Rattus norvegicus: one gene and its partners. The protein of the gene in region 3 purifies or fractionates together with the protein of the main gene of each other region. This does not show direct contact. Links are inferred from orthologs where the notes say so. Each region holds a gene or a part of one and is shown on either strand. Other genes may lie near its edges.

Region 1 (4,949 bases), on a different chromosome or scaffold from region 3:
CAAGAGATAGAAACTTATGATAACTCAGGCATTCTTTTAGGCCAACTGTTTGTCTTAGCTGTGGGGGTTGGAGGCAGGGCCGCGAGGCGGTGATTGCCTTGATATTTAGCTGTCAGATAAACAAAAGAGGCCGCCTGGCGCCAGCCTCGGCGCTCTGCTCCTCCACGTCTGCGGCTGCCGCCGCCGCCGCGCTCGGCGGGCCGAGCTGGAAACCACCGGCTGGGCCAGGGCTCCAGCGGCTGGGCCGCGCAATGAACAGTCCATAGGGTGGGGGGCGTCTGGGGCTGCTTAGTGTCTTTTACAACTACAGATCCCGCTTCTCCGGCCCTCCCCGCCACTAGGAGCACAATTCACCTCCGCCCCCACTGCTGAGCTTGGCACCCACGCACTAGGGAATCCTACCCAGCCAGCCCACCTGAGAGGGAAAAAAAAAACACCCAAGTGAGCTGCTGGTGAACTTGGAAGATTTGCAGGGATCAGGGCATGATCCTCTACCCTGAGCACAAAGACAAGGAGCAAACAGAAGGCATGGAAAACCTAACAGGATAATATGGGGAGGAACCTGTTCAGGGTCCCGGCCATGAAGCCCAGGCCAATTATGGTGCAGGGAGGGACGTCACTGAAACGCAGGGGTGGGAGTGTCGGGCGTTCTAAGGACCACTAATTGTACGCTTTTCTGTGCGAAATAAAGATAAAAAAGTAGAGGCCACCCAACTTCTCCAGGCTGTTTGCTCCTTCTCGCCCCGAAGTGTGCACAGCTGAGACTGGATACCCAGTTCAGTCTCCATCCTACCACTGCCCCCAAACTCCAAAGCTGGGAGGCCAGGACAGTATCTGGGCCACTCGTGCCCCACGTGACTGTCCTTATTTACTAAAGGAGAGACTCTCCAGCCTTTAAAGCTAGTTTCTCCCAGCCTTCCTTGGCGGGCTTGGGCCGAATCCAACTCGGCCACACACCTCAACGCCTTTCCGGGTGCGGGGGAAGCGTGATCCCCCACTTTGCTCTGTATCCCCTTGCATACCCGGAAATAAGAGTGTCTCGTTTTCTGCAGCATGTCAGTTCAGTATAAGGCTAAGCAGCAGTATCCCTGGGTCTCTTCCTCTGGAGGGAGGGGGGATGGTGCAAGAGCAAAATCTTGAAAGGGAACCCCAAGGAATGTCAGAGTTTCCCCCCCCTCGTTCCTTCTTTGATTTAGTTCCCTTGTCTCCTCCAGGAGATAATGCACACACCCTCGAGCATTTCTACCAGCATTTCCTCGCCAGAGGGAACGAAAGGTGGACTCAGAACAACTTCTTACCTAGTTCACAGAGTCGACTAAGGTGATGGGGGTTGCAGCACACCAGCTCGGGGTTGATCTTCCCGTAAGATTCACAGCAACACAGCCTCTTGACTTCCGAGGAATGCCTGAGATCCGGCCACCTGAACACTTTGCACAGCAGGAGGGGGAGCGAGTAGGACGAGGGCGGCTGCGCGGGCTGCGCGCTGGCGGGCGCCCCCGGGCCCAGCCTGCAGTCCAGGCGGCCGGGCAGCAGGAGGCACGCGGTGCGCGTACCGCCGCGGGACTCCACGGCCTGAAGCAGCAGCTCCAGCTGCCGCTCCTTGAGTTTCTTGAGCACCGAGTGCGTGAGCGCCTTCAGATCCGCCTCGGCGCCCCCGGCCGCCCCGGCACCCGAGGATGGGGGATGGGGATGGTGGTGACCTTTGGCACCTCGGACTGCCTTACCCAGGCAGCAGCCAGCCCTGCCCGCACCGCCGCCACCAGCCCCATAAGCCCGGCCGTCCGTCGCCCCTTCTCCCCGCAGGTCGCCTCCGCCGCCGCCACCCCCCACGCCCTCCTCCTCGTCCTCGCCGCCGGGCGCACGGCTCCTCCAGAGACGCCGGACGAGCGCAGATCGTTTGGTCCTGAACATGCGGGGCGAGGAGGCGAGGAGAAAAGTCGTTTGCCGGCTAAGGAGCGAACATGACCTCCGCACACCATGAAGAAGTCGGGCGCCGAGTTGGGGCAGCAGGCGCAGGCGACAGCAACAACAGCAGGGGCCCGGGCAGAAGCGGCGGCGGCCCGAGGGGCGCTCCGTGGCATGCGCCAGTCTCCCGGAGGCCGGGGCGCGCGCGGGGGCCCAGGGGCGCCCGCCGGGGATCGGGGGCCTGCGCTTCGGCTGCCCCACCCGGCGCGGCCCGCGCCCTGCGCGGCTCTCGGGCCCCGGCGTGCCCCTGAGGAACGCGGCCGCCGCTTCCCTGGGGGCGGCCGAGGCAGCCCCGGTCGACGCCTCTCCCCAAAAAGGCCCCCCTACAGTGGCTCCCGAGTGTCGGGCTCGCCAGCCTCGGCTTCCTACATGGAAGATCCTCAGGGGCAAAAAACGAAAGACGTTAGGCTGAGCTACTGAAGGGAGGAAAAAGCCTCTTTCCCCCTTGCTAAGCAACTTAATTTGGGGGTGGGGAGAAGCAGGCAATTAAAAAAAAAAAAGGCAGGCACACGATTTATTTTTTTCTTCTATATCCTTAGTAACCGGATCTCCTCGAATTCTGTGCACGCGAAGACTTGAGGGAGGGGGCCGAGTAGACTTCACCCCTCGTGAGATGTCTGGAGGGTCTCTCAAAAACCCCAAAACCAAATATGCAAAGCCCCCAGTGAAAAAACACACCACCTTCTCGCACCTCGGAGGTCTGGAGGGCACCGGATGGAGCCGGGGTTTAAAAAGAGAAAATGTTTACAAAGTAGAACAAGATGTTGGAAGGGTGGGGGGAAAAACCGTATCCACGAGTTACATCCCCTTTTTTTCCTTGCTGAACCCCGCCGGTCTTCCTTTCCTTTTCTTCTGTCAAAAAAAAAAATCGTATTTCTTTTAATCCACAGAAAGGTCTGGTTAGGCTGCTTCAATCTTGCGTATCTGGGTGTTTTAGAGTCTCTGGTCTTTCCTCCTGCGCTCCCGGGGGCCCAGGTCCTCGGCGGGGACTTCCTCCGCGCTGGGGAAGCAGGGACAGAAGATGCTGCGGCGGCGGCTGCGCCCCGGGGGGCTGTCAGCGCGGGGGAGGGCGGCGCGGCGGCGGGCTCCGGCGGGTCGCAAGCTCTCGCCCCCGAGGGCACAGGCGGCAGGCTAGCTAGCGTGGGGGCTGCCGGTGCCCCTTCTCCTGGCCGAGGGTGGTCGCTGGGGCTGCTCGCATAAGCTGCTGGCCCCGACCCGACAGTGGCGGCAGGAGGCCCGGGTGTCCTCTCGCAGCCTCTTCCTCCGAGACTCTCTTCGTCGCGCCCGGGAGCCTCCTCGTCCCCCGTCCGCCCTCTCCTGGCGCTCGAGTCCTTCTGCCGCCGCTGGGGGCTCGCCGCGCCGCACTCAGGGACTCCGGGGCCGAGCGCTCGGCGGCGTGGCGCCGGCTGGCTGGCTGCGTCTCAGGCAGCTCTCCGGCGCGGCGAGCGGACCGAGCGAGGCGCCCGGCTGGCTCTGCTGGCGCTGCTCGGGGACAAGATCCTCTGTGCGCCGAGCAGCGAGCGAATGTGCCCAGGGCTCGCCGCCTCCCGCAAGGCCTCCCGCCTCCGCCCCCTTCCCTCCCCCCTCTACCCCTCCCTCCCCCGCCCCCAGCCGCCGCCGCCTCCTTCCCGCCCCCCCACCCGTCCCTCCGCTCGGCTGGTTCCACTGCGCAGTGGCGCGCCCGGCTCCGGCCTCGTCACGTGGCCGTCTAGACACCCTGTCGCTTTAAAAAAAAAAAAGCGATTGTGTTTCGCAAACAACAGATCGGGTTTCTAAAAGCTATTTCAACCCCCCTCCCAGTTACCGCCACCCTCTCCCAGGTCTACAGAGGGGTACCCACGGGCGGAGGGAGGTGGGAGGCCGAGACGGCCCCGGGGGTCGGCGGAGACCCAGGGGGAGCAGGGGGAAATCGGAAGAGCTGGGGGCGTGGAGCGGGCGAGTTTGGAGCGGAATGAGCCGGTCAGTGGCCCGATTTAGACCAGTGGAGCTCGCCGGGGCGCTTCATTCATTCGTTTTGTTTTAAGGCCCTGGCGGCGGATCCCTTGGAAAGGGGAGGAGATCGCTGTCTGTTTCAAAGACATTTACACCGGCCAGGACAGAGGCCCTGGGAAGTGTGCGCTAGAGGGAACAGCCGGGCGGCCGAGGGCGGAGAGGCGGCGCGAATGTGACCTCAGCGGCCGCCGCGCTCCCTCCCGCCCTCTCCCGCTCCGGGCTCGGGTTTCTAGGACTGCCTGGAGAAGTGTGTCTTGTGCACAGCTCTGGAATGCATTTGGCAGGCTGACGAGCAGCGAGGGGCAGCATCCTGGAGGGAGGAGGGGTGCAGCTCGCCTGCGCGCCGCCGTCAGGTTTCCTCCGGGCTTGGAAGACCTCCGGCACCCGCCACTCGGCCTCCTGGCGCGCGAACGTTACCCAGTGAGCAGACCTGCTTAGAGCATTCAATCGCATGCGGGGCCTACTTGGGGTCAGAGAGTTTTTCCCTTGACCTCAGGTTCCAGAGAAAGCTATCCCCAGATGCAGGTGACTGCTTGGAACTAGAAAAGGTATTTGTCAAGCGAAAGTCCTGTGGGTGCTGGTCTGAGGATAGTACTAGGGTGTTAAATGTGACTGAGACAACTAGTTGGCATGGTGACCCAGACTCACATATTTATTGGGTTTTTTTGAAAAGTCTCTTGAGGGGCTGGGGATTTAGCTCAGTGGTAGAGCGCTTACCTAGGAAGCGCAAGGCCCTGGGTTCGGTCCCCAGCTCCGAAAAAAAGAACCAAAAAGAAAAAAGAAAAAAGAAAAGTCTCTTGAAATTGTAACAGGATAGTAATAAAACTCATGGGGGTGGGGTAAAGATTTTTTACCAAATGTGGACTGTAATTATTTCTTCCAACCGGAATTATATGTTCTGACCAGTAACTTCTGTTTCTAACCTGATAGATACTTTCAAGGGCTGGAAGTATAATTCATTAGAGGTCCTGGGTTGAGTTACTAGCAACTCA
Region 2 (4,155 bases), on a different chromosome or scaffold from region 3:
ATCACTCAGTGGGTGAAGGAGCGTGCCATAACCAAGCCTAGTTTGTTTCCCAGGATCCATACAGTGGGAAGAGAGAACTGACTCCTATAAATTGTTCTCTGATTTCCACATGTATACCGTGGTTGGCAGGTATGTGTGTGCAAATGCATGCATGTATGCATGCGCGTGCACACGCACACAAATTTTTGTTAAAACAACAATTTCATATCATGTTAAAAAGGCTAACAGCTTCCAAATTCCAGGAGAACAGTCTTCGAGCTGCAGAATGGTAGCTGCATCTCTTAACCGCAGCTCTATCATGATAAGAATAGTGTCCTACTTTCTACCTCCCGACTCGAGAAAAGCAAATATCATTCTAGAGGGGAGGATGCTTGGAAGTTTATATAACTGTGGAAGTGACTTACTTGCTTCAATGGTGAAACCAAGTTCCAATTTATCTACACTAAAGTATCCAGTCAGATAGACAGCAAGCTCAACAATTTTCATTAGGCCGCAGTCTGGTATAGCACTCATACTCTTCCAAAGTTTTAACAATTTAAGCCAAATGCCCTAACCAACTACTTAAGTAAAATAGCAAAATAGACATATTAAGACTTAAGAAAAAGATAAACAATAACATTACCTGATCCAGACCCTGATGTTGTCATATCATAAATTAAATCTTTTAAGGTGGTGCCCTCTGAAATGAAAGGGCGATCTAGTGAGGGATCCTCTTCATTTGGTACGCGGTGGTGAATGACAGTGCGGTTATGGCAGATATAGACCATCAGCATAAGTGCAATGCAGACGAAGCAGACTGGACCAGCAATGACAGCTGCCAGCTCCACAGGACCGAGGCCAGCTGACTGCTTTTCTGAAAAAGGTCCTCAAATGAAATAAACATCAAGAGAAACAAAACACTGTAGGTGGCACTCACATTTCCCAAATCCTCCATATTTTCCCAAGCGTCCAATACTATCACTTAGTCAGAGCCCCGTCACACAGGGCTCAAGGCAAGATCAAGTTCCCCTCTGTCTGGCCTCCCTCTCACTCTTCCTGGGCGTCCCTGGACCATCTTCTCATTTCTCGTTGAGTGCATCAGCTGACCACCATCCTAGACCTCCTTCCCTGCTTGTCACTTCAGGTAAACTAGAAATGGAACCAACTATTTGAAACAACTTCCAATAACTCATTTTTTTAAATAAATTTTCTTCATATTCCAAGTCTACTGTAGGCTTATAGCAGAGGAAAATATATAAATATAGTTAATAAGGTTTTACAAAGTATCAGCTTCCTTGTGATCCTTCAAAGGCTCATACTTTAGTGTATACATTTCCACCAACTTTTTAAAGCATAAAGACTTCCTCTGTTTACTCTTGTTTTTTACTCTATTTATACATTTTTAAACCTTTCCCTCTCTTATTGTGAGACAGGGTTTTAGCACATAGTTCGTCCAGGCTGGCCTCAAACCTGGGATTCTTCACCCTCTGCCTGACAGCACGGAGATCGTTTTTAAAATAGTTTGTGTATGCATATTCTTTCTAGACTATTTTTTGCCAACTGCATTTTTAATTACATTTATTTTCTTATAATCTCTAAATAAATTAACATTTACCATTTCAAAAACACATTAATATGTTTAAATGTGTCAACAATTAAAGAAAAGAAGGCCAGGAATTTAAAAGAGGAAATGGGGAGGATATATGAAAGGGTTTGGAGGGAGGAATGGAAAGGGAGAACATGATATTATAATCTCAAATATAGTATTTAAATTATATTAATAATAATTTTGGCACTTACCAAACTTTACTTAGTTAACTTGGTTCACTGCTCCCTGCCATTTTTTTTTTCATTTTTGACATCATCATTTAGGTTAATTTATCATATAAAACTCTCTTTCTAGCAATATTCTTTCAGGAAGAATCTTAAATCCTTATATACTGTAAACTTAATTAGATATCTGAAGACAACTGTTAACCTTTGTATAAGAAAAGTCTTTCTAAAAGGCTTACTTTTTTGGGTGATAACCAATATATAATATTCTACTGCCCTCTGATACTGGAATAAAGTAGAAAATCTGAACATTTTCCTCCTTTTTTGGTAATCAGTCTTAAATGCACTGAGGCTTTTTCCCCATAAAAATTCTACTGGACCAGCAAAACAGCTTGTGGGAAAAGATGCCTATTACCAAGTCTGAGAACCTGACTTCAACCCACAGGAACCAAAGGAGAGTGTACACACACGCACACATGCACACACGCGCACGCACACACACGCGCGCACACACACATACACGCACACGCACACGCGCACACACACACACACACACACACACACACACACACACACACACACACTCTGCAGAAATTACTCACAGTTTTGGCCTGTAAGCAGTATTCATTCTTCCATTAAATCTGCTAGTATTAATATAGGTTTTCTCCCATTTTATATTCCTTTGACTATTAAAATAAGAATTCAGGACTTGGAGAGAAAGTGGAAAATTTCCATTTAATTCATTAAGTTTTAAATTACTAGCTATACCAGAACCCTTTATTATTATTTTATGTGTATGGATATTTTGCCTATATGTATGTTTGTGCACCATATCCATGACTGGTGCTTGAGGTCAGAAGTAGGCATTAGATCCCACGAACTGGAGTCACCACATGAATGCTGGGAATTGAACCTAGGTCCTCTGAAAGAGGATCTTTTTTTAAAAAGTATTAAATATTAATTTATACTTACAGATCATAGTGTAACATAATACAAAATGGAAACATTTAGACTGGTTGGTGCACTCGATTTCTGCCCATTAAAAGGCTGTTCATTGGGTTGCCTTAAGATGTAAGTATACCATACGAGAAATGAGAAATGAGAAATTCACTCTGAGAACAAGGCAAGGAAAACCCTAACAACATGTTACCCTATGAGATTCTAGAATTCACTTTGAAGAGGCTACCATTGCATGCATAGCAGATCTCACTGAGAGTCTCTGGGCACTGCTTTCTCTAACACATACCCAGGAGTCAGGCTCCTGGCTACTCATAAATATACAAGGCAACTCTCTGCCTCTACCCTCAACAAGTCAGGCTTGACAATTTCTGTAAACACTTGCAGTTCTAAATTTGTAGGCAGTCTAGAAGCTTTTCTTTTAGCATCTTGGAGGAAGGAAGGAAGGGTGCTAATACAACAACTTACCTGTAGTTGGGAGTTCTATTTTATTGCAGTGATCCTGATTGCAGCAATACGTAACTGCCCCTGTTTTTGAAGATGGTGCACAAACAAATGGCCTGTCTCGGGGAATTAGGTCGATTTCAGCTATACACATGCTATTGTGTATAACTTTGTCTGTGGTCTCGGTGACTGAGACAAAGCAGAGACCATCTGTCTCACAAGTAAAATTGTCCTTTGTACAGAGGTGGCAGAAACACTGTAATGCTAGAGAAAGAGAATAAGGTTTTATTAGAAAAAAAGAGTACCAAGGTTAAGTTTAAAAGTTCACACCACTACTACGTTTTAATTATTATAACAATTTATGCACTGTTCAAATAATGAACATATTATTCATAGAATGTCCAAGAATTACACATATATACAGGCCAGGGTGATTTGGTAAAATTTTGACGTAGCCTCCCCCACCCACCAAAATTTGCCTCCTAGAAAAAATTTCCACAAAATTTCATCTGCCCTCCCATTTGAAATACAGTAAAGTTATACTTGTTCCTAATACTAAATTACACAAACACACACACACACACACACACACACCTCTACAGAGCAATGTGTGAAAATAGTGTCACAAATTTACTACAGGTTGGAAACACCATTTCAGTGGATTTGTGGTAATGAAATAATAGAAACATTCATATTGAGCCACAGATTTTCTATTCATCCTGTGCAACCCCTAAGACATGTATCTTTCCACTGGTATAGGGAAGATTATTCCAGCAACAATTTATATATTCTAGCCATATGGAACATGGCTATATGCCCACTGTATCTATTAGATCTTAAGACTCAACTCTAGGAATGACCTCTTTATGGAAGTGTCTGCTGTCACCAACATCTTCTGTCATACATACCCATACTCTCTAATGGGGTTAAGTGCTTCCCCCAAAAGTATACACAGCTTACCAGAAATGCTGATTTTATTATTTTCTCCCCTAAGAAAATAGA
Region 3 (3,253 bases):
TGCCTGCCAATCATCCATACATTCTTTCAACTGGATCAGAGGGAGAGAAAAGCAGCAAATGAAAATGTATCAAATGCTCACATATATATTTGGCGTCTTGGATCCTTGACTGTGAGAAGCTAAATGAAACCCAAGGTTTGTATGCGTCATGTGCTGCACAGGTTCTGACTGTGGAACGAACATGCAAATGCTATTTCTCTTATACAAGTTACCTTCTGAGAGAAGCTGTAAGGCTATGGTGAATTCCATCAGGAATACACAGAGAAAGTTAACAGACCTACCTCTAGAGCCAAATTAGCAATGAGTTAAAGGCTAGTACATGAACAGAAAACCTCGCCTAACTTTGATGCAATTCTTAGTACAGATACAGAGTACTAACCAGCCTGCCTTAAAGCTATAGTAACTGGGAGAGCTAAAAAGTTGCCAAATTACCAAAATGGAGTGGAGAATAATAGACAGCAAAACATGAAACCTTTCATTTTAACCAACAGTGAATTGAAGATAAGCATTTTAAACCAAAACAAAATTGAAAAATTTATAGATTCCAATTGCAGTGAAAGATACTTACATGTAGCTGAAAATGATTTTGATGGCATGTGAAATCTAGAACGTGTTCCCACAGTGAGCGAGATAAACGTAATGTTCTGCACTTTAATGATACAACAAAAGGGAACTTCCTCAAGGCTGCTCCTCGGGTTGTGGTAACAGACCCACACTGATTACCAGGGACAGACAGACTGGGAGATCTGGTGTACCAAGGGCACTGCAGTGTCTGGGCCACACTGACAGCAGCTAAGTACCCGAGAGGTGCAGACAGCCAGCCTAGCGCACAGGACTAGATTACCCAAGAACCAAGTTCAGCCAGAGTTTCCTTGCAGTATTATTAGAGCAAAATTAATGACCAACATCCACAAAGTTAACATTTGTCATCAATTAAGTCACATCCAAAAATTAAAGAAAACATAATTGATCAAAACAGCAGCAAACTTAAAAGGGATTTATTTGTGATTTCCTATATATATTTAGCTTGTAAATACAAGACTGTAAATGTATTAAGAGACAATTTCTGTTAAAGTTTTCATTGTGTTTCACTTCAAGTACTGCACAAGTTAAAATCTGATAAAGGATTTACATTCGGGTATCTGAAACGCCTCCTCTCAGACCTCTGTTTAATGCGGTGGGTAACTCCGTCTCCACAGATACCACCGGCAGGAAAGTCTCTCTCTCTCTTTCTCTCTCTCTCGTATGGCTTCTTGGACTTTCATTAATTAGTGTGCATACAGTTTTCATTTTCTAGATCATTGTCATTATCATTGCTGTCTTCGTCACTTTCCAGGGGGACACCTGTGGCAGCTGAAGCACCTTTAGTTTCTCGGTCGAGAGGGAAGAAGCCAGTTCCACTGAAAGTGTCCTGTCTCTGGTAGAAGAGCACGTATGCTGCTTTGGACTGTTGAACAAGTAAGGTGTGTCAATGGTGGCAACACACAAAAATCATAGCTGATATGGCACAAAGTTTTAGCTAATAACCAATTTTAGTGACAAAAAAACAAATAGTAAAACTACACATGATCATAAGGAAGCAACTAAAATTGGCTAAATATTATTATTTCTATATTTAAAAATAAACAGGTTAATTCTATATAATTTGGACTAAGAAATATATATAGTCAAAATATAAATTAACATACTTACCATAATATAAAACACAATAGTTTTTCTATTTACTTGAAGGTTGAGTATCTTTCTATCTAACAACAAGTGTTTCAGCTTATGCTGGACCTCTAGTGCAACTTTTCCTGTTATATAACATTTCCTCAGGTGGTTAAACATGTTGAACTTTTCTCCAGTATTTATTAGGAGAACACTGATTTTTTAAAAAAAAAAAAAAAAAAAAAAAAAAAAAGAAAGTACAAAAGTGACAATCAGGAACAGAAAAGGGCAGGAGTAGATGGGACAAGTCCAGAGAATAAAGCTTACCGAAGGACACTACTCACACCCCTGAAATGTCATACAGAAACCTGTTCCTGTATAATTCACATATGCGAAAGACATCTCTTTTTCTTTTTGGTTTTCTGAGTCATGCTTTCCTGTGTAGCCCTGGCTGTCCTGGAAAACTCAGTCTATAGGCTAGGCTGCCTTCCTATTCAGAGATCTGCCTGTCTCTGCTTCCCGAGTGCTGGGACTAAAGGTGTGTGCTACCATTCCCAACTTGAAAATACTCATTTCAAAGGACTATTTTCAAGGGTATGCATTCCCTTCCCAGCAGCCCTTGCAGGCAACTGGGCTTTGCTAACCCAGGACTGCAGGGTGGCATGGCCTGAGCCACTGGAGGAGAAGTAGCTTGTTGATTAGACTTGGAAGCTGGGTACTGATGTGGAACTTTACCCCGTCACGGCACTGCTGGAGGTTTGCATAGAGGTTATGATCGATACAATTACCACCAAAGAGGGGTCACCGCGGAGGGCCTGGTGCACCTGAGCATGACCACCTGTCCCACCCCTATCTATGAAGGATTCAACTGAGGCTGAAGCTTCATGTCCTGACTGAGAGCTAGTGTCCAATAAAAGGTGTATCTTTTATAATTTATTTAAATTTGTTTTTACTTTGTATAGGTGTTTGGTCTGCAAGTATGTTTGAGCATCAATGAGAAACCTGGTTCTATAGAAGCCAGAAGAGGGCGCTGGATCCCTTGAAACTGGAGTTAGATGGTTGTGAGCTGTCATTTGGTTTCTGGGAAGAGTTCCCAGGGTCCCTGGAAAAGCAGCCAGTGCTTTTAACCACTGAGCATCTTCATGGCTCCTTTATCACTTTATAAGATTGCCCAGGCTACCAAGAATGAACATAGGACACTACAGGAGATGAAGGGTTCTGCAGAGCAAAGGAAACTAATGAGCAGAATGAACTGACAGCTTACAGAATGGGAGAAAATCTTTACTACATATATTTCAAACAGGGTTTAAATCTAAATAAAGAACTACAAAAATTCAACCCCCACAACAAAAGTGTCAACCAATAAATGGGCCAGTGAACAGTTCTCAAAAGAAACAATAAACAATAGTTTTAAATATGAGCCACACTTAGCCAACAAGAATGCAAACTATGAGTCCACCTAACCACAGTAAGAATGGCTGAGATCAAGATGCAAATGACGAGTGCTGTTGAGGATGTATGGAAAGTGGAAGCTTCACTTCCTGCAGGCGGGCGGGAGTGTGGACTGGTACAGCCCTTTATGGAACTCAGTATGGAGCTTTCT
Region 4 (4,155 bases), on a different chromosome or scaffold from region 3:
CATGTGTAAGATTTCAACTGAAGATCACAGTCAAAGTCACTATATTAGTAAACAACATGTGTAAATTTCAACTGAGGATCACGGTCAAAGTCACTATATTTGACTGTGTGTCAGTATTAGAAACTTTAAACAAATTACAAACACTACTTTCTCCATAACGAATTCAAATACCAACCTAACATATGTTTACTTCCAGGCTGAGTGGTATGGCTCCAGAGTGAGACTTCACCGGGCATGTATCAGGCTCCATACCATACCCAGCACCAGAAAGACCACAACAGCTCCAAGTGACTACAGATACATATCCCATGGTTAGGAAAACTTACGACTCTATCTGACTGCAACACTCACTTGTGGAAGCCACAGGAATGTTGGGGAAGTTGGTGGTACTGGTGGCATTAGACTCTGATGGGGCTAACAGAGCTGGGGCGCTGTACGTCTCCGTGGATGCGCGATTACTTGGTGGATGTTGGATGGTTTGAATCGAATGTCCTTCCGTGGGTAAGGATGGCTGTCCTTCAAAGTCATGAACATATTCATCCTTCACTAACATACTTGGTGGAGCTATGCAAAAAGAAAAGACACATTTTTATATTCTTCCATTTTCACACACACAAAAAACTACATACCAAGTAATATGACAGTATCTAAAACTTAACCATAATATCAATTCACATTCAGAATTGCTTTTCATATTGCAGAAAAGCATTTTCTCAGCTATAGCTACATTAGAGATTTTATCAATTTGACTCACTGAAATTTGAAGACATATTCTTCAGTTTTCTGACAAACTTAGAAGTACATAATCATCTAAATAAGTAAAAACCAATGCCTAGCAAAATGAGTTCAGTCCCTCCATCAGACATAGGATGTGTCTATGCCTTCACCTGGTGAAGAAGAATTCTGCCTCCCTGAGGATTTCCCACGTTTAACCTCATCCTCAAGCCATTGGAGACAGTGCTGCTGTCACACCTGAGAAAAGGCACCTAAAACCACACACGCCAGTGCTCTTTCACGATCACCAACATAAAGATACCGAGTCAGTCTACAAGCACACAGGCAGGCACTCAGTCTGACGCTGTCCATCGATGACTCCTCCATCTCTCACAGGCTTGACTCACTTGAAGCGATAGTGCAATCCACATGGAAAGACATCAGCAAGCAGAAGCACCATCTTAACACGGTGACCACTGAATTAGCTGAACTTAAGAGCCAACTTCCAGACAAGGGGCTCTGCATCCAAAGTACCAAAACTAAGACAGGAAGGATAATCAACTTGTCTCTGACATGGCCCAAGTGTTCGTAAATATGAGCAGAGGAACGTCACCACAGTACTGGCAACACCCACACTAAAGCCGCATGGATCACTGACTACTGACTCCTGCTTATTCTACTCCAGGTTGAAGAGGAAGCCTGTCAGGTGACAGGAGACCATGTTCCCCAATATGATCCTAATCCCCCGCTCTTTCAGCATTCTTACATGCCACTTGGCTGAGGATCTCAAAGCTTTCGGTAAGTGCCATTACAGAAAGCCGGAGTTCCAACAACCTTCAAGAGGTGCCAGGTGAGCCAATCAAAGGTCAGTAAAAGGTCCTCAGCATAGGCCACCATCCTGTCCACTCCAGGAGAACTCATCATTTCTCTAACAGTCCTGCTTCAGTCAAGGATATTAAATTCAAGGAGGAAATAGCCCAAGCCCATCATGCAAGTCTGAGGGCCATACCTCCTGCCTGTCCTGCAAGTCTGAGGGCTGTAGCCAAAGGAACCACAACATTAGGGAAATGGTAGGTCTTATCTGTGGAACTACAGAGAGTTTTATTGGGTTAAAAATGTAGGAGAGAGTTCAGTAAGCTTTGGAACTTTTCTCAGCTGTGTTAGGTTGTCGGCCATATTATTAAAGTCATCTTATCCTTTAATTGATTTGACAAACATAAAAAAGATACACTTTAGGCACATGAGAAAAGACTGCTCACAGGTACTCCATGGGTTGGAAAAACCATGCTAAGGAAAGAACTTACATCAAGACCAAAAGCCTGATCATCATCTATCATGGAGTCTGACAAGATGGCTGCTCAAAATGGACAGATGCTAGCACAAGTCGTGAGGGATATGGGGCTTACAGACTATGAGCCCAGAGCTATGATCAGATGTTGAAGTGTGCCTTCCAATATGTGACCACAGTTCTAGATGATGCTAAAATGTATTCAAGCCATGCCAAGAAGCTACGGTTTATGCAGATGTGCACTGGCAATACAGTGTCTGCTGACCAATCTTTGATGTCTCCTCCTCTGAAAGACTTAATAGATTTTTCGAGACAAAGAAATGATGACTGTGATAAGCTGTAATCCACCCATAATACTTGTAACAATATATGCTTGTTCTCAAATCCACTGCACCAAAATTAAGTAGTATACTGCATGTGTTCAAGCTGTATTTTAGAATATGGTACATTAATTATACTTAATTATACTATGGTTTTCAATTAAAATGCTGAGTCTATTTTAGTAGAATTAGTAATGGTTTTCCATTGACTTTTAGGTATAGAAATAAATTGCCAAAAATTTCAAAAGCGCAAAGAAAGAAGGGAAGGAGAGGAGGAAGGAAGAAGGGAAAGAGGGAGGGAGGGAGGGAGGGAGGGAGGGAGGGAGGGAGGGAGGGAGGGAGGGAGGAAGAAGGGAAAGAGGGAGGGAGGGAGGAGTATGTTTGGAAGTCCTGCCAGCCTAGAGAAAAAAAAAAACAAGTCACAAAACACTATGGTGATACACAGATTTAGGGGCTCAGAAGATGATTTGCTACCAAGGCTAGACACCTGAGAACGGTTCCAGAAACTCACAGTAAGAGAAATGATGCCAAGTAATCACATGCATGCACCCATGTGTGTGTGTGCACACACAGGAATGCATGCATCCACATGCACATACATACTTGCTTTAAAAAAAGAACCCACCAAGGCCCAGAAGTGTTCACAGTTTGTGATTTTTATATATAAAAAAGGGAATAATGCATGTATTTTCTGCATGAAAAATAAAGACGCCCTGGAAGCAAACACTAGGACCTAACCAAGTGACCACACAAGCAGAGATGGGAGCACTGGGAGCCAGCTTTCACCAGACACCTTTCTATATTGTTTCATTTATGGACCAATTATGCTGCTTATTAAAAAAACCAATTAAAAAATACAGTCTATACTTTTTAAGTCCATGAAAAAAGACTCAGTTCTCTACAGGACTAGAACTGATAAAAAGGGTTTACTAGAGTGGCTCACAGAATGCAGTCCAGCTAGTCCAGCAATGGCTGTCTCCTGAAGGAAAGTCCAAGAATCCAGCATGGGTTCAGTGCACGAGACTCCGTGTCTCAGCAGTCTTCAGTATACATGAATCCTGGAGGAGGCGGCTCTGGCAGCAGTGAAGGACTGCGTCCCCTCACCAGCAAGATCTATGAACTTGCCAGTGAGTGTGCAAGAAGGCAGAGACAAACATTCTTTGTGCCTTTGTATAGGCTGCCCTGAGGTGCAGTCAGATTTAAAGTGGGTCTTCCAACTTCAAGCAGTCTGCATTTAAAATAGGTCTTCCTACCTCAAATGATCCAATTAGGTAAAAACCCCTCACAGGTATGCCTAGTGTAGGCTTGGGATGTTAGTAAATCCAGATATAATCAAGTTGACCATCAAGAATAGCTAAGACAAGTCGTCTACTCCTTGTCAAGCCAACACACCATCACATCTTATTTCATGCTTAATTTCCAAATAAAACCAACAATCAGGTCAAAATTTCACCTAACCTGACATACTATCACACTTACAACCAGAAGCACATTATGTACTTTAGAGAAGGTGACAATGTTTTTGGAGGACATTCTTTTAGTACCTCAAATACAATTACACTCTGATGTTATCTCAGTGATGCTACACTTCAGGATAAAAACGTAACAGGAAAGAAAACACAAATATCTGAGCAAACACATTCTTAACAAAATATGACAGAAACACTTATGTCAATTATAAACATCATTTCTGCAGTTCGTCATATACTCTACTCCCATCTGTATTTCCTCCGCCCTCAGCAAGCATCTCAACAGGTCACTCTTTCTGGGGACGTGATCCACACTTTCAATCCTGAGGAGTTTGTGTGCTTTATCACCCTTCCTGCATAGTTC
Region 5 (4,738 bases), on a different chromosome or scaffold from region 3:
GATCCAAGGCTGCGTTGCACGCACACTCTCCCAGGCACATGCTCTGCTTCCTGCCCACGCTCACCTTCTACACACTTGGGGTCACAGTCCAGAGTACGGGTCTTGCAGCGTAGCCCTTCCCCGGTACCATCAACCCAGATATACATGAGTTGGATCTTCTCGCCCTGGGGCAGGTTCATGTACATCTGCTTGATGCCTTTGTTCAAGTGGGAACTTGCTGAGGTGGCCATGGTGGAAGGTGTTCTGGAGAGAGACGAAGATCGTTCGGTTAACATCTACTCCAAAGGGATCCCCTGCAGGAGTGGCAAAGGAGTCAGACTGGATGGAGGGCACCGTGCTCTCTCTCCTTTGGGACTCAACACACGTAAAAGGTGCTTTATTCACTCTGTTTGCAAGAGGTTTAACGTTTCCTACTAGACAAAGATCGTCCCCCTCAGGGGGACTAGTTAAGGGATTTTAATAACTGTTAACCTTGAGATACATTAGTAAAACAGAACAAAATATCAAAAAGCTCATTAACATAACTCATTCCACCCAACAGAACTACCTCACTGCCACAGAAAGCCTTGACTAATGGACTGTTGAGCCTTCCTTTGTCACCTCCTATTCCTGTAACAACCTTAAGGGACACGCACACCCCATCATGACCCCTAGTCCCTGCATTTAGACGGTTTACCTAGTTATGTAGCCCTGGGATTTGCGATGTAGACCAGGCTAGCCTCATACCCACATCGGCCAGCCTTGGCTTCCCGAATGCTAAAATTAAAAGTGTGTGCCACTGCCAAGTTAGATTTAACAATGATACACTGGAGCTAGTAAGATTTTACACACTCACATACTCCTCGGAGAAAGAAAAACAACCCTGTATTAAATGCCACCACTAATGTGGTGAAAAGTAAAAGCCATACTTGAACGAGTACACTGCTGATTTTGGGGGGGGGGGGACGGAATTCTCTACAAGCCCTCTCTGTCCTGGTACTCATTATGAAGACCAAGATTTCCTGAAATCAGACAATCTACCGGTCTCCTGAGAACTGGGATTAAAGGTATTCCCCTCTACACCAGGCCTCAATGGCTGACTTCATTACTGGGATGAAAAGTCCTTCCTCCAGAGACAGATTTCAATGCGAAAATTACAGTATTTGAGAAGATCCCACCAGATGATATTTTCTGGTGAGTAGAAAAAAATCCCACCTCTAATAAAGACCCCGGGGGCACAAGATTACAAGTCACAGGAGCAGGGGACAAGATCCTCTATGAATCAGAGCCTGCAAAACCAGCCTCAACCCAAGAGGAAACATCCCCCTCCCTAATCACCCAGGATAGATGGAAAGGGAACATATTGTTCTCCTCCCAGCGACTTGGGCAACTTTCTGAAGTACAGTGGCAAAGTTTCTACGGGCAACTGTCCATGTTTGCCCAAGTGAAAACAAGTGCTTCTCCCTCCAAAAGCCTAACCCTTTCCCTGGGGAACAGATGAATCTCTGCGGTGGATTTCTACACAGAACCAGAACCTCTACCTACACCACTCCGAGGCCTGGACTGTAATTCCAGATGGCTTCAACTTACACCACCCAATTCTCTCTCGGCTTGCCTCTCCTGTGGCTTACACATCCAGCATTTAACAATCTTTAGGTGAACCTGGGTTCCTCCTCTGTTCCTGGAAACCAGTTGGGTACCAGCAGCCTAGTGTACCTAGCACCAACTAGTGTCCCTGTGGTGCAAAGTGGAACGGGTTCTTAAGATTCTGAGTAGTTTCTGCTTGTTGCCAGATGCACCCGGGTCCTTCTCCCTGCCTTTTTACTCACCCCAGCCAATGTGAATCAAATACATTGAGGTTGTACTCTCTAATCCTCCTCTTTTTAGAGTAGTGTTCGTTCCTCTCCTCCAGCTCCATTTCTCGCTGGTCTAAGCAACGCTGCTTTCTGGGTGAGGGCGATGGGATGGGGGACCCAGATCGTTCGGAGTGGGAGGTGCTGGAATAAGTAGGCTGGTGGGATTTAACCTTAGCCCTCGACTTCTCCCCGTTGTTCACAGAGTAGGCAACGAAGCCGAAGGTATTAGAAGGGGACTCTGAGAACCGAGACTCTCCATCGTCTATGTCTTCAGCCGGTGCTTTCTTTGAGTATTTGCGGTTGGGGGAGGATCCCCGCTTCCCGCCCCCGGAGGAGTTGGGGTAATCCACTTTGAGAAGCAGCCCTTCCCACTAAAATAACCGGAAAGTCGGCGCCCCGACTCTCGGACCCCCGCAGATCTCAAGGCCTCTCCCAAGGGGCCATACCCCGGCGAGGACAGAGGCCGGACGGCGAGAGTGGAGCGACGGCGGGAGGCACAGCGTGCTGCTGCTGCCTCCGCCCGGCCCCGCCTCTCCACTGCAGAGCCCTCCGGCCACTCCGGGGTCCCGGCTCTCCATTGTTCGGTCATACGGTAAAGGCGTTGCGTGCTGGCGAGTGGTGCCACCAAAGCTAACGACCACCAGCCTCAACCAGACCACCCACAGCGTGACAACTCACCCAATCGCGCCGCCCAGAGAGGATCAAGGCGCCGGCGCCCACTTAAGGCAAGAAGAGCGCACTCCCGCTGGGACCACCGAGTCGCCCCGGATCTCGGCTTGGTAGCCAACCCAGGACGCCCGCCTCCGGGGCGGCGCCTCCCGCCTCAAGTAAAAAACAGATCATAACAACCCGCAACCCCGCCCTTCCCGGAGCCTGGCTCACAGCGCGCCCTAGGAACGCCAAACAGAGCCGGCCCGAGCCGCACGCTACAAGCACGCGGGAGGCACGAACGCTGCATCCCGCGCCAAGCAGCAACAGACTGGAGCTGGGATGTAGAGTGCGACGCCACAGCCCGGGTGGCTGTGCACCCCTGGACCCTCCGTGCGCTTACCAGAGCGGTGGCCGGCAGGATGATGGATGGGTGGACAGGCCACGAGAACGAGACGAAGAGCGGAGAGGAAATGGGTGTGCTGCTCAAACACTCCGCCCTACTCCCATTCTCGGCTGTGCAGGGTTGCGGGCTGCTCAGTACTTTTTATTGGCAGCTTGTGCCCGCCCCCAGGCGCCCTGATTGGCTGGCCTAGGCCTGGAACCCCGTGCCCATCAGTTGCTGTGCACCGGGGCCCTGAGACCATTGGCCCAGGAGCCGTGAGGAACCGCGGGGTGGGGCGAGCGACCCAGAAGAAAGAAAGAGAAAGGGGAATGGGGGAGGGGAGGCAGCGGCGGCTGGGGGGCCGGGGCCGAAGGTGCTGTGCGCCTTTGCAGCACGCGTTCTTTAGCGACCTCTGGACCCTCGGACCCAGGCTGAGACTGTCTCAGCGTCATTTGGCCTTGGTCCTTTGCTACCTTAACAGTACAGAGGTTTTCGGAGAGATCTGTCGGTGAAAATCCAGAACCCCAGAAGAGAATTTTACCCTTTGTTGAGCGAGCCAGAGACAGACAGGATTCCCGGAACCTGGAGGACCCCATCTTCCTGGCTTCCTGACTGGGTTTGGGGGATGTGATCAGGCTGTGATTTCACGGTTTAAACACAAGTGTGACGTTTCTATAAAGAGGATTTTTGAGGACCGTAGACTGACTGACGTTGCCTTGTGTGTCTCGCAAGTCTCTGAGCCTCTCAGTGCCCGAGTTCCTTAGATCTGCAAAATAAAGCAGATGGAAGGACTTTCAAAGCGGTCCACCAGACTTGAAGTCAGGATGCAGACCGTGTGCTAAAGAGTGGTGGTGGCACATACCTTTAGTACTAGCACTCAGGAGTCAGAGGCTGGTGGATCTCCGGAGTTCGGGGCCAGTCTGGTCTACAGAGGGAGTTCCAGGACAGCCAGGGTTTCACAGAGAAAACGTGTCTCAACAAACAATAAGAAAGCAAGGGAAGAAAGAAATCCCTGCTTTTGCTTCTTGTTTGTTTTTAAGTATGTGGGGAGCGGGGCGGGGGGGGGGGGAATGAGTTTCTCTTTCCTTTCTTAACCCTGCAGTGTTGGCTGAGATAATGTGTAAACACTATGAGACAAACTGAAAATGTGCACAGAAATTACCTGTAAAAATAGACGTGGCCCATATATTATTAATGCCACGTTCTGAGCAATCTGTGTCTAGTACATGAAATCTACCTCATGTCCGGTCTTTATTATATGTTTTCAGGAGCCCTGGTGTTTGAGATGGAGATTTTCTAACACCAGAAATCCATGCTCTTGGTGCCTTTGGAAGAGGAAGGGATGGAGTTTGTTCTTCTGGTTATGTTTTGCACCACAAATATGAAAAAGAAATGTTGCCTGTGACCACACACACATAGCTCGGCCTCTTAAGTCAACCTCTGTCAACTCCCCTAAGTGTGTCTAACACTGTGGCTCACAGAAGCTGCATCCACCTCAAACGGGCTTTTTGGTATGCTTTGGACCAGAAAGACACCTTGCAAATCCAGTGTCCTATTCAGCTGTGTGAAGCGTTCTACTCGCACGGCGTTCGGCAGCGGGGTTTCACATCAGGCAAACCCAAGTCCAGATTCGTACCTCACCTCTTGCCACCTTGATTAATAGCCAAATTAATAACTACCCAAGCTCTCTTAGCATTTGTAGCAGTGGGAACTGGACCATGAAGAGTATTAGGAAAACACTGTCACCTCACAGGGCAGTATAAGCTGGAGAGACTGGATCATTTCTTTCCATGGTTAGTCTCTCTCTGTGTATGTGTGTTACTTGTTGCATCCATGTACATAGAGGTCAGAGGCTGACTTTAGGGTGTCG
Region 6 (4,155 bases), on a different chromosome or scaffold from region 3:
AGCTCCCACAGCTGGCTTTTTACTACTGAATTAATATCTTAGACTGAGCAGCAAAGTAGTAGTTTGCCAACTGAGCAAACTCAGTGACACTGTGCTAATAAAGTTCATCATCATTATTGGACCAATAAATTAAGAACCTTTGTCCTAGAGGGGGTTGTAAACTCTGTAGTAAAGCACTTACTTAATTTGCATAAGCTTTGAGTATTACTAGTATTACCCATACTTCAAAAAGATGCCAGGAGTGGTGGTACACCTTTAATGTTAACACCCAGGAGGCAGAGGCAGGTGGATGTCTTTGAGTTTAAGGACACTCTACTGTACACAGTAAGTTCCAAGCTAGCCATGGCTACATATTGAGACTCTATCAAATCTCTCCCTGGAAAACAAAAACATAAAAAAACCTATGAAAAGAAAAAGAATGAAAAGAAATCAGTTACTAAATAAAGCAAGAGGACTAGAAAAATGGCTCGATGGCTAAGAACACTTCTACTAGACTGGGCAGTGGTATTGAACACCTTTTGTCCCAGCACTCAGAAGCTAGAAGCCAGCCTGTGACAAAGTGATAGCCAGGGCTACCCAGAAAAACCCTGTCTCAAAACAGCAAAACCAACAAAAAACCCAACTAACTGAAACCCACTTCTGCTTTTCCAGAGGCCCAGGGTTCAGTTCCTAGCACCCACACAATGACTTGTCAATGGGTACAACTCCAGGTCCTGAGCATCTGGCAGTCTTTTCTGCCCTCCTCAGGCACTAGGGAAACATGTGGCACATATTCATACACTTGCAGGCTATTCAGGCAAAGCATTCATACATATACAATAAAAATAAAAAGAAAGCTGACTGTAGGGCTAGAGACATGGCTCAGGGGTCAAGAGCACTGACTGCTCTTCCAGAGGTCCTGAGTTCGACCCTCAGCAACCACATGGTGGCTCACAACCGTCTGTAATGGGATCCAATGCCCTCTTCTGAAGATGTCTCTGTACTCATACATAAAATAAATAAATAAATCTTTAAAAAAAAAAGCAAGCAAGCAAGCAAGCTGACTATAGTAGCCCACACCTGAAATTCCAACATTCTTACAACAAAATGGGAACTGGAAAAAAGTGAATGGTTGGCAAAATCCTATGTGGAACACACTGGAGGTAACAAGAGAGACACCCCTCCTCCCAAACCTGTCTCAACAATGTAGAAGGAAAAACTGATAAAAAACTATACATGGGCACACCTGTACATCTGCATGCCTGTACACACACACACACACACACACACACACACACACACACACACACCACTAAATTTAAAGGGTGGGGAAAAAAAAAGCAGTGATAAATTTTCCTTTTTTGCAGCTCTGGTATCAAACCCAAGTACCTTCTACAGACGAGGCACATGTTTAACCACTGAACTAAAAATGGATCTTTATAAGCAGGTAAATACACAGAATACATAGTAAGAAAAAACCATAAAACTCTAAAATATGCCAAGATAAAATAGACCCTGGGTTCATCCCCTAGCCCTACAAAAATTAAAAAGTAAATATATGTTTTTCAGACTCATTTCACATTACTGGTCTCTGATTTTGGTACACTAACCCCAAAAGCTAAACATAAGTCAAGTCGGTTTGAAAACCTGTTTGTGTAGTTATTTACTCCTCTGCATTTAAAGTGTTATCTGATGTGTATTAGCACCTTTCTCTTGGTAACTTAACAAACTCACAGGTCAAAGCCATTGGGAATGATGTAGGAGTCCCACCACTCAATTTCAGGGATGTCGCCTTCCTTCAGCTCTTTTTTAGGAGCAATGAGGGCAAGTCTAGTCGACGTATGAATGCCTGTTTTTCTAGCAGCCTGTGAAATCTCTGCTTGCAGCTTTTCCAACTGAGCCTAAGAGCAAGACCAAACAAGGTAGGGAGGTAAGTTAGAGCAAAGAACGTCGTAGAGACACAAATTTGACAACAAATTTAACTCTTATTAAATTCTCACACCTAATGTAATGAGTTCACAACGTCTCAAGGGTTTGAAAGAGAAGCTGCCTCACTTTACTCGGTTTACTTACTCCCCCAACTCTTGTCTCTTTCACTCATACTGCGTGTTTTCAGTAGACATACATTGGTGGGAGTCCATAGAAACCTCACTCTGAGAAGACAAAAGGGTCAATCTAACTAACTACAGTCAATCCAACGCTCCCAAGCACATAGATTTCCTGTAGTCAATTTTAAAATCAGGCAATCGTTCAACAAAAGAAGTCAAGAAATTGCTTTGAGCTGTTCTCCTCAACTGTCAGTCAATGGGAAAATATCTACATAAGCAGAAAGCAGTCAGGAAGAGAAATCTAGTAAACAACAAACATTCTAAGAATATTAGACCACTTAAACCAACTACTCATTGTTTTAAATTGTTTCTATTTCCCAAATATATGGACCTAAAAGTGTCTTTGTGTCAGCTTCTTAACTTCTAAATTACCTTTGTCCGTAATCGTTGAGCAATCTTCTCAAATTTGCCCTTGTCATGGAATTTAAAAGTGCGTCTTTGACGCTGGGAAGGGGCAATTGAGACTCTGGGGTCAAAAAAGGTATTAGATTCCATGTCTTCTGATGGCTTTTCTTTTAGTTGCTGTTTGAACTGTTCCCTCTTCACAGCTCGAATGTTTGCCTTCAGGGTGGGCATGCGGTGTGTGAGCTCCACCTCCTTGCCTGTGGCATCCACAGTGCGGCCTTGCTCATCCAGGATCAGTGGGGTGGGCTTCGTCTGATCTTTTAACTCGACTTTCCTGAAAAAACAAAACATCCCCCAAAGAAATAAATCCTACATGGAACAACAAAGCAAGGAAAACCCAACAGAAAACAAAAGGAATCAGACTTATCAAAGACAATTGTAAATTAACCTTAGGGAAGGCAATCTCATCAGTGCTTAGGCTTGGTAAAATCTCCATTTAAAAAAAAAAAAAAATCAGAGGGCTGGAGAGTTGGCTCAGTGGTTAAGAGCATTGACTGCTCTTCCAGAGGTCCTGAGTTCAATTCCCAGCAACTACATGGTGACCCACAACCATCTATAATGGGATCCAATGCCTCCTGGTGTGTCTGCAGACAGTAAATCTTAAAAAAAAAAAAAAAAAAATCAGGGTTGGGGATTTAGCTCAGTGGTAGAGCGCTTGCCTAGGAAGCGCAAGGCCCTGGGTTCGGTCCCCAGCTCCGGAAAAAAAAAAAAAAAAAAAAAAAAAAAAAAAAATCAGAGTAGGGGGACTGAGAAGAGATGGCTCAGTTGAGAAAAGGACCTGGGTTTGATTTTCAACCCCAGTTGGGCCTTACGGTTGCCTGTAACTTGAGTTCTAGGGAATTCTAGGCCTCTTTCTGACCTCTGAAGATACCATCTACCCAGGAGCTACAAAGATATCTATGCAGGCAAAATATTCATATGCATAAAATAAATCTTGAAACAAAACAGCAAAAAATGTAAATTAGTTCTGTTTTTTAGCTAAGAGTTAATATAAAATAAAACATCAAACCATGATGAGGATATATCTCAGTATTTGAGAATTTGTACAGCACATTCAAGTTCATGGGCTCCCACAAAAAATACATCAAACCAAGTATTTGGAAACAGGGTATAATCAAATGAAATTAATTCTAAAATCATATTGAGAAAAATTTGTTCTTTTTTCCCCCTGGTTTTTCGAGATAGGGTTTGTGTAGCCCTAGCTATCCTGGAATATAGCCCAGACTGGCCTCAAACTCTGACTTCCCTGCCTCTGCCTCCTAAATACTGAAATTAAAGACATGTGCTCTTGCCACCACCTGGTCATTATCTAATCTTGTTTTATTCCCAAATTCTTCTCCTTTTTCAAAATTTATTTTCAGGTCCTCCAGAACCAGACTTAAAGATAGCCAACCTGTGAGTACGGAGAACCAAACCTTGGTCCTCTGGAATAGCAGCAAGTACTCTGAACTACTAGCCACCTTTCCACCAAACCCTCACCTGCCCTTTTTTGTTCTTATTTCACCTGCATTGGTGTTTTGTCTGCATGTAAGTCTGTGTAAGTGCATTGGGTCCTACAGAACTGGAGTCACAAACAATTGTGAGCCACCATGTGGACACTAGGAATTGAACCTGAATCCTTTGGAAGAAGAACCAGTGGTTTAACCATTGAGCCATCTTCTAG
Region 7 (3,047 bases), on a different chromosome or scaffold from region 3:
ATTCCCTCAAGCCCACACTGGTGGGGTGGAGCAATGCACGGAAGACTCAGGTTAAGAATTTCTAGAATGGAAATACAGAATACCCGCACTTGAGGCACATTCATGCCAACACGTACTGTCCCCTGGATCACATGACCGAGTAGTCCCAGTGTGACAGAGAGTAACTAGAGGGTAGAATAAAAGGATCCACATGGGGCTGGGGATTTAGCTCAGTGGTAGAGCGCGTACCTAGGAAGCGCAAGGCCCTGGGTTCGGTCCCCAGCTCCGAGGAAAAAAAAAAAAAGAACCAAAAAGCATCCACTGAGGGGCTGGTCACTCCACCATCTGGTGACTCAATGGTGGAACTTTTCAGCCCTGTTGCCAACAGAGGTCATGATCTTTTATGAGGGCTCCTCAGACTTAAGGGCTCCACTAGTTTGGCTAAGTGAGCCCCAGGGCCTTGGGCAAGTCTCTCAAGTCACGTTACACATTGGACCTGCTGGAGTGTGGCTGGTTCTCATATTATTCAGGGCAGCATGGGGACTCCCTAAAGGTCACTCTAGTCTTTGGACACTAGGATGGCCTGAGAACTTCAGGACAACGGGTAAGGAACCAGGGGTAAAAGCTTTAATGCCATCAAACAACATCTGGACCTAGCTCCTTAGGGCTGCAAAAGAACAGGACAAGGCTTAGTGCAAGGCTGGGAGGGCACCACCCTAGAACACCCTTTTCAAATCCTAAAGCCATAAAGAAGAGGTATTACACTCTTAATCCCTCCTGACTCTGAAGACCAGGCTCCTGGACACCCTGATAAATACTCTGTGCCCATCCCCCAACCCTGCTACATCAGGCTTTACCAAAGAGCTCCAAACCAGCTTTCCTGAGGATAGAGAAAGATTGGCTACTGCTCAGTGCTCTATTCAATGCAATCCCAGCCACAAAGATCACAGGTCTCACCATGGCGCTGTCTTGCTATGTTTGAGAACCCAGGGCCTGTCTGAAGGACTCACGAGTGCACTGCCCACTGTACTAGAGCAGAAGCCTCCCAGACCTCCCTTTCCCTCGCTGTGAAGGTCTCTGAGGTGTAAGCACTGAACTGTTTGGTCTCAATGACAACTCTGGGCTTCACCTCAGTCACTCACCAAGGCTTCAGTTTCTTTAGTGAAAAAGGATGGCAGGTTCCTCAATCCTTTTCTATTTCTAAAATTTGATGATTAAAAAACTCAAGGCTGGTTTGCTAGCCACACTCAACCTTCTCTTTGTTACAGAGAAAGAGTTGTTGAGTTGAACATGGAAAAGAAAACAAAACCAAACCAAAAAGCCCCCAAAGTCACCCGAGAACCTGCTAATCCATTCTGCAGCCCGAAGCAGGACTTACATCATGAACTTCCTCCACTGAGATGTAGGCTTCGGTCGGAAGCCCCAAGTCTTTTGGCTTCACATCAATAATGACCAGTACCTGGCAGAGAACACAGCTTAGCAAGAGCCTTCCTTTTTGACACAAGGTACAACTTCAAGACTTCTTCTGACTACTCACACCACTTTCTTCATTCAATCAGAAACAAGCCGGATATTCAGCGAAAATAAGTTGACATTTCATGTGACCCACAGTTCACCTGTCCAAATTCCAACCTGTACCTCACTCCCCACCAGATCTTTTTTTTAATTTACACTCTTAACCTTAAAAAAATTTTTTTTACACTTAAACATTGCATTTTTCTAGAGAGAAAGGGGGGGGGGAGGAGAAAGGTGGAGGGAGAGAAGGAGAGAGAGAGAGAGACAGAGACAGAGACAGTGAGATAGAGACACAGAATATACAGAATTGTGGGAGTCTCTCTTCCTAGTGTGGGTCCAGGCAGAGACCTTGTAGGTTTGGTGATAGGGTCTTTCCTCACTGACACAGCCACCTTGCTGGCCCTCTAGCCATACTTCACTTCGGTTTCCTCATTTATAAAGCCAACATCCAGTTTCTGAGAGGATTAAGTCAGATGTACATGGCACCAGCAGGTGCCATTAAATATACTAAGTCACACCAAATTAACACAGCTCCACATTACTGCTAAAGGCTTTGGAGACACAAAAGCATGCCTGGCTACCCAGGCCTTCTGAGGAGGCTCTTACTTGAGTAGGGGCAGAGAGCATCAGTGTTCTGATGACAGTGTTCTGACGACAGTGTACTTACCGAGTTGGGGCAGTATCTCTTCATGAGTTCATTGATGGCGATATCGTTCTTGTGCAGTTTGGGGCCTGTGTGGTACCACCCAACTATTCTTTCTCTGGCTGGGAAGCAAAACCTTAGTAAGTTTTAATTATTTCATCAAGATCTGTGCCACCGACTCAGAAACAGTAAGAACACCAGCACTTACTTAGGCTTTCTACCTTTTTGAGAATTCCAGACAAAAATAAATCTTGACACATCTTTGAAATCTAAAACTACAAAACAGAATTCTAAGAGAGTGAAGCCTGGAGACATCTGTCTCCCAGACTTGCTTAGGGTCCAGTCACACGTGAGGGAGCAGCGTGGGCGTGGGGTGGGTAGGTGGGCCCAGAGCCGTGTGTGCAGCACTCAGTAGCGTCAATGCACCTGGCTAGCACTGGAGCTCTAGGGCAGGCAGCCTCCAGGGCTAGCACAGCCTCCAGCCCGGGTAGTCTACACAGCCTCAGACTGTGACTGTGGTTTATTCATTCTACCTCATTTCTCTATCACTACCAGTCTATTTTCACTTGGTCCAGCTAAGTGGATCGATCCTTGACAATATACAGAGACCAGATTTAAACACACACACACACACACACACACACACACACACACACACACACACACTCAGACTTACCATTGACCTTCTTAAACATCCCATACATGTTTTCCAAATAATCATGGTCTAAAAACCAGACAGAATCATCTTTGTCATCTTCATCAAAAGGTACTAAAGAGAGAGAGAAAAAAAGAGAAAATAGAAAGACTTTACCTAGGAGCTAGAAATTCAGCCAGAGGAACCTCAGTGGTGTCTGCCTCACCATGTAAACTGTCAGTACTGCCTTCATTCAAACCTCCACATTTCCAGCTT

The links.
Region 1: the proteins of Usp15 (region 3) and Smad7 purify together in Homo sapiens (affinity purification with western blotting; 3 studies listed by BioGRID). This does not show direct contact. The link is inferred for Rattus norvegicus from reciprocal best matches to the Homo sapiens genes USP15 and SMAD7.
Region 2: the proteins of Usp15 (region 3) and Tgfbr1 purify together in Homo sapiens (affinity purification with western blotting; 4 studies listed by BioGRID). This does not show direct contact. The link is inferred for Rattus norvegicus from reciprocal best matches to the Homo sapiens genes USP15 and TGFBR1.
Region 4: the proteins of Usp15 (region 3) and Smad4 purify together in Homo sapiens (affinity purification with western blotting; 4 studies listed by BioGRID). This does not show direct contact. The link is inferred for Rattus norvegicus from reciprocal best matches to the Homo sapiens genes USP15 and SMAD4.
Region 5: the proteins of Usp15 (region 3) and Glul purify together in Homo sapiens (affinity purification with mass spectrometry; 3 studies listed by BioGRID, with this or other methods). This does not show direct contact. The link is inferred for Rattus norvegicus from reciprocal best matches to the Homo sapiens genes USP15 and GLUL.
Region 6: the proteins of Usp15 (region 3) and Prpf3 purify together in Homo sapiens (affinity purification with mass spectrometry; 3 studies listed by BioGRID and IntAct, with this or other methods). This does not show direct contact. The link is inferred for Rattus norvegicus from reciprocal best matches to the Homo sapiens genes USP15 and PRPF3.
Region 7: the proteins of Usp15 (region 3) and Psmd7 purify together in Homo sapiens (affinity purification with mass spectrometry; 3 studies listed by BioGRID, with this or other methods). This does not show direct contact. The link is inferred for Rattus norvegicus from reciprocal best matches to the Homo sapiens genes USP15 and PSMD7.

What each region holds. Positions count from the first base shown.
Region 1 is NC_086036.1:71,261,892-71,266,840, reverse strand, and holds the start of Smad7 (mothers against decapentaplegic homolog 7), read right to left. Parts: upstream 3,334-4,949; 5' UTR 1,912-3,333; coding exon 1,299-1,911; intron 1-1,298. UniProt on the Homo sapiens protein: Antagonist of signaling by TGF-beta (transforming growth factor) type 1 receptor superfamily members; has been shown to inhibit TGF-beta (Transforming growth factor) and activin signaling by associating with their receptors thus preventing SMAD2 access.
Region 2 is NC_086023.1:66,480,237-66,484,391, reverse strand, and holds part of Tgfbr1 (TGF-beta receptor type-1 precursor), read right to left. Parts: intron 3,418-4,155; coding exon 3,178-3,417; intron 866-3,177; coding exon of another isoform or gene 854-865; coding exon 623-853; intron 1-622. UniProt on the Homo sapiens protein: Transmembrane serine/threonine kinase forming with the TGF-beta type II serine/threonine kinase receptor, TGFBR2, the non-promiscuous receptor for the TGF-beta cytokines TGFB1, TGFB2 and TGFB3.
Region 3 is NC_086025.1:60,642,629-60,645,881, forward strand, and holds the end of Usp15 (ubiquitin carboxyl-terminal hydrolase 15), read right to left. Parts: intron 1,448-3,253; coding exon 1,265-1,447; 3' UTR 983-1,264; downstream 1-982. UniProt on the Homo sapiens protein: Hydrolase that removes conjugated ubiquitin from target proteins and regulates various pathways such as the TGF-beta receptor signaling, NF-kappa-B and RNF41/NRDP1-PRKN pathways.
Region 4 is NC_086036.1:69,539,457-69,543,611, forward strand, and holds part of Smad4 (mothers against decapentaplegic homolog 4), read right to left. Parts: intron 565-4,155; coding exon 352-564; intron 1-351. UniProt on the Homo sapiens protein: In muscle physiology, plays a central role in the balance between atrophy and hypertrophy. When recruited by MSTN, promotes atrophy response via phosphorylated SMAD2/4.
Region 5 is NC_086031.1:68,574,333-68,579,070, reverse strand, and holds the start of Glul (glutamine synthetase), read right to left. Parts: upstream 3,006-4,738; 5' UTR 2,887-3,005; intron 2,536-2,886; exon of another isoform or gene 2,514-2,535; intron 2,223-2,513; exon of another isoform or gene 1,898-2,222; coding exon of another isoform or gene 1,809-1,897; intron 244-1,808; coding exon of another isoform or gene 231-243; coding exon 65-230; intron 1-64. UniProt on the Homo sapiens protein: Glutamine synthetase that catalyzes the ATP-dependent conversion of glutamate and ammonia to glutamine.
Region 6 is NC_086020.1:186,078,655-186,082,809, forward strand, and holds part of Prpf3 (U4/U6 small nuclear ribonucleoprotein Prp3), read right to left. Parts: intron 2,767-4,155; coding exon 2,460-2,766; intron 1,881-2,459; coding exon 1,714-1,880; intron 1-1,713. UniProt on the Homo sapiens protein: Plays a role in pre-mRNA splicing as component of the U4/U6-U5 tri-snRNP complex that is involved in spliceosome assembly, and as component of the precatalytic spliceosome (spliceosome B complex).
Region 7 is NC_086037.1:52,405,798-52,408,844, forward strand, and holds part of Psmd7 (26S proteasome non-ATPase regulatory subunit 7), read right to left. Parts: intron 2,907-3,047; coding exon 2,814-2,906; intron 2,260-2,813; coding exon 2,162-2,259; intron 1,439-2,161; coding exon 1,358-1,438; intron 1-1,357.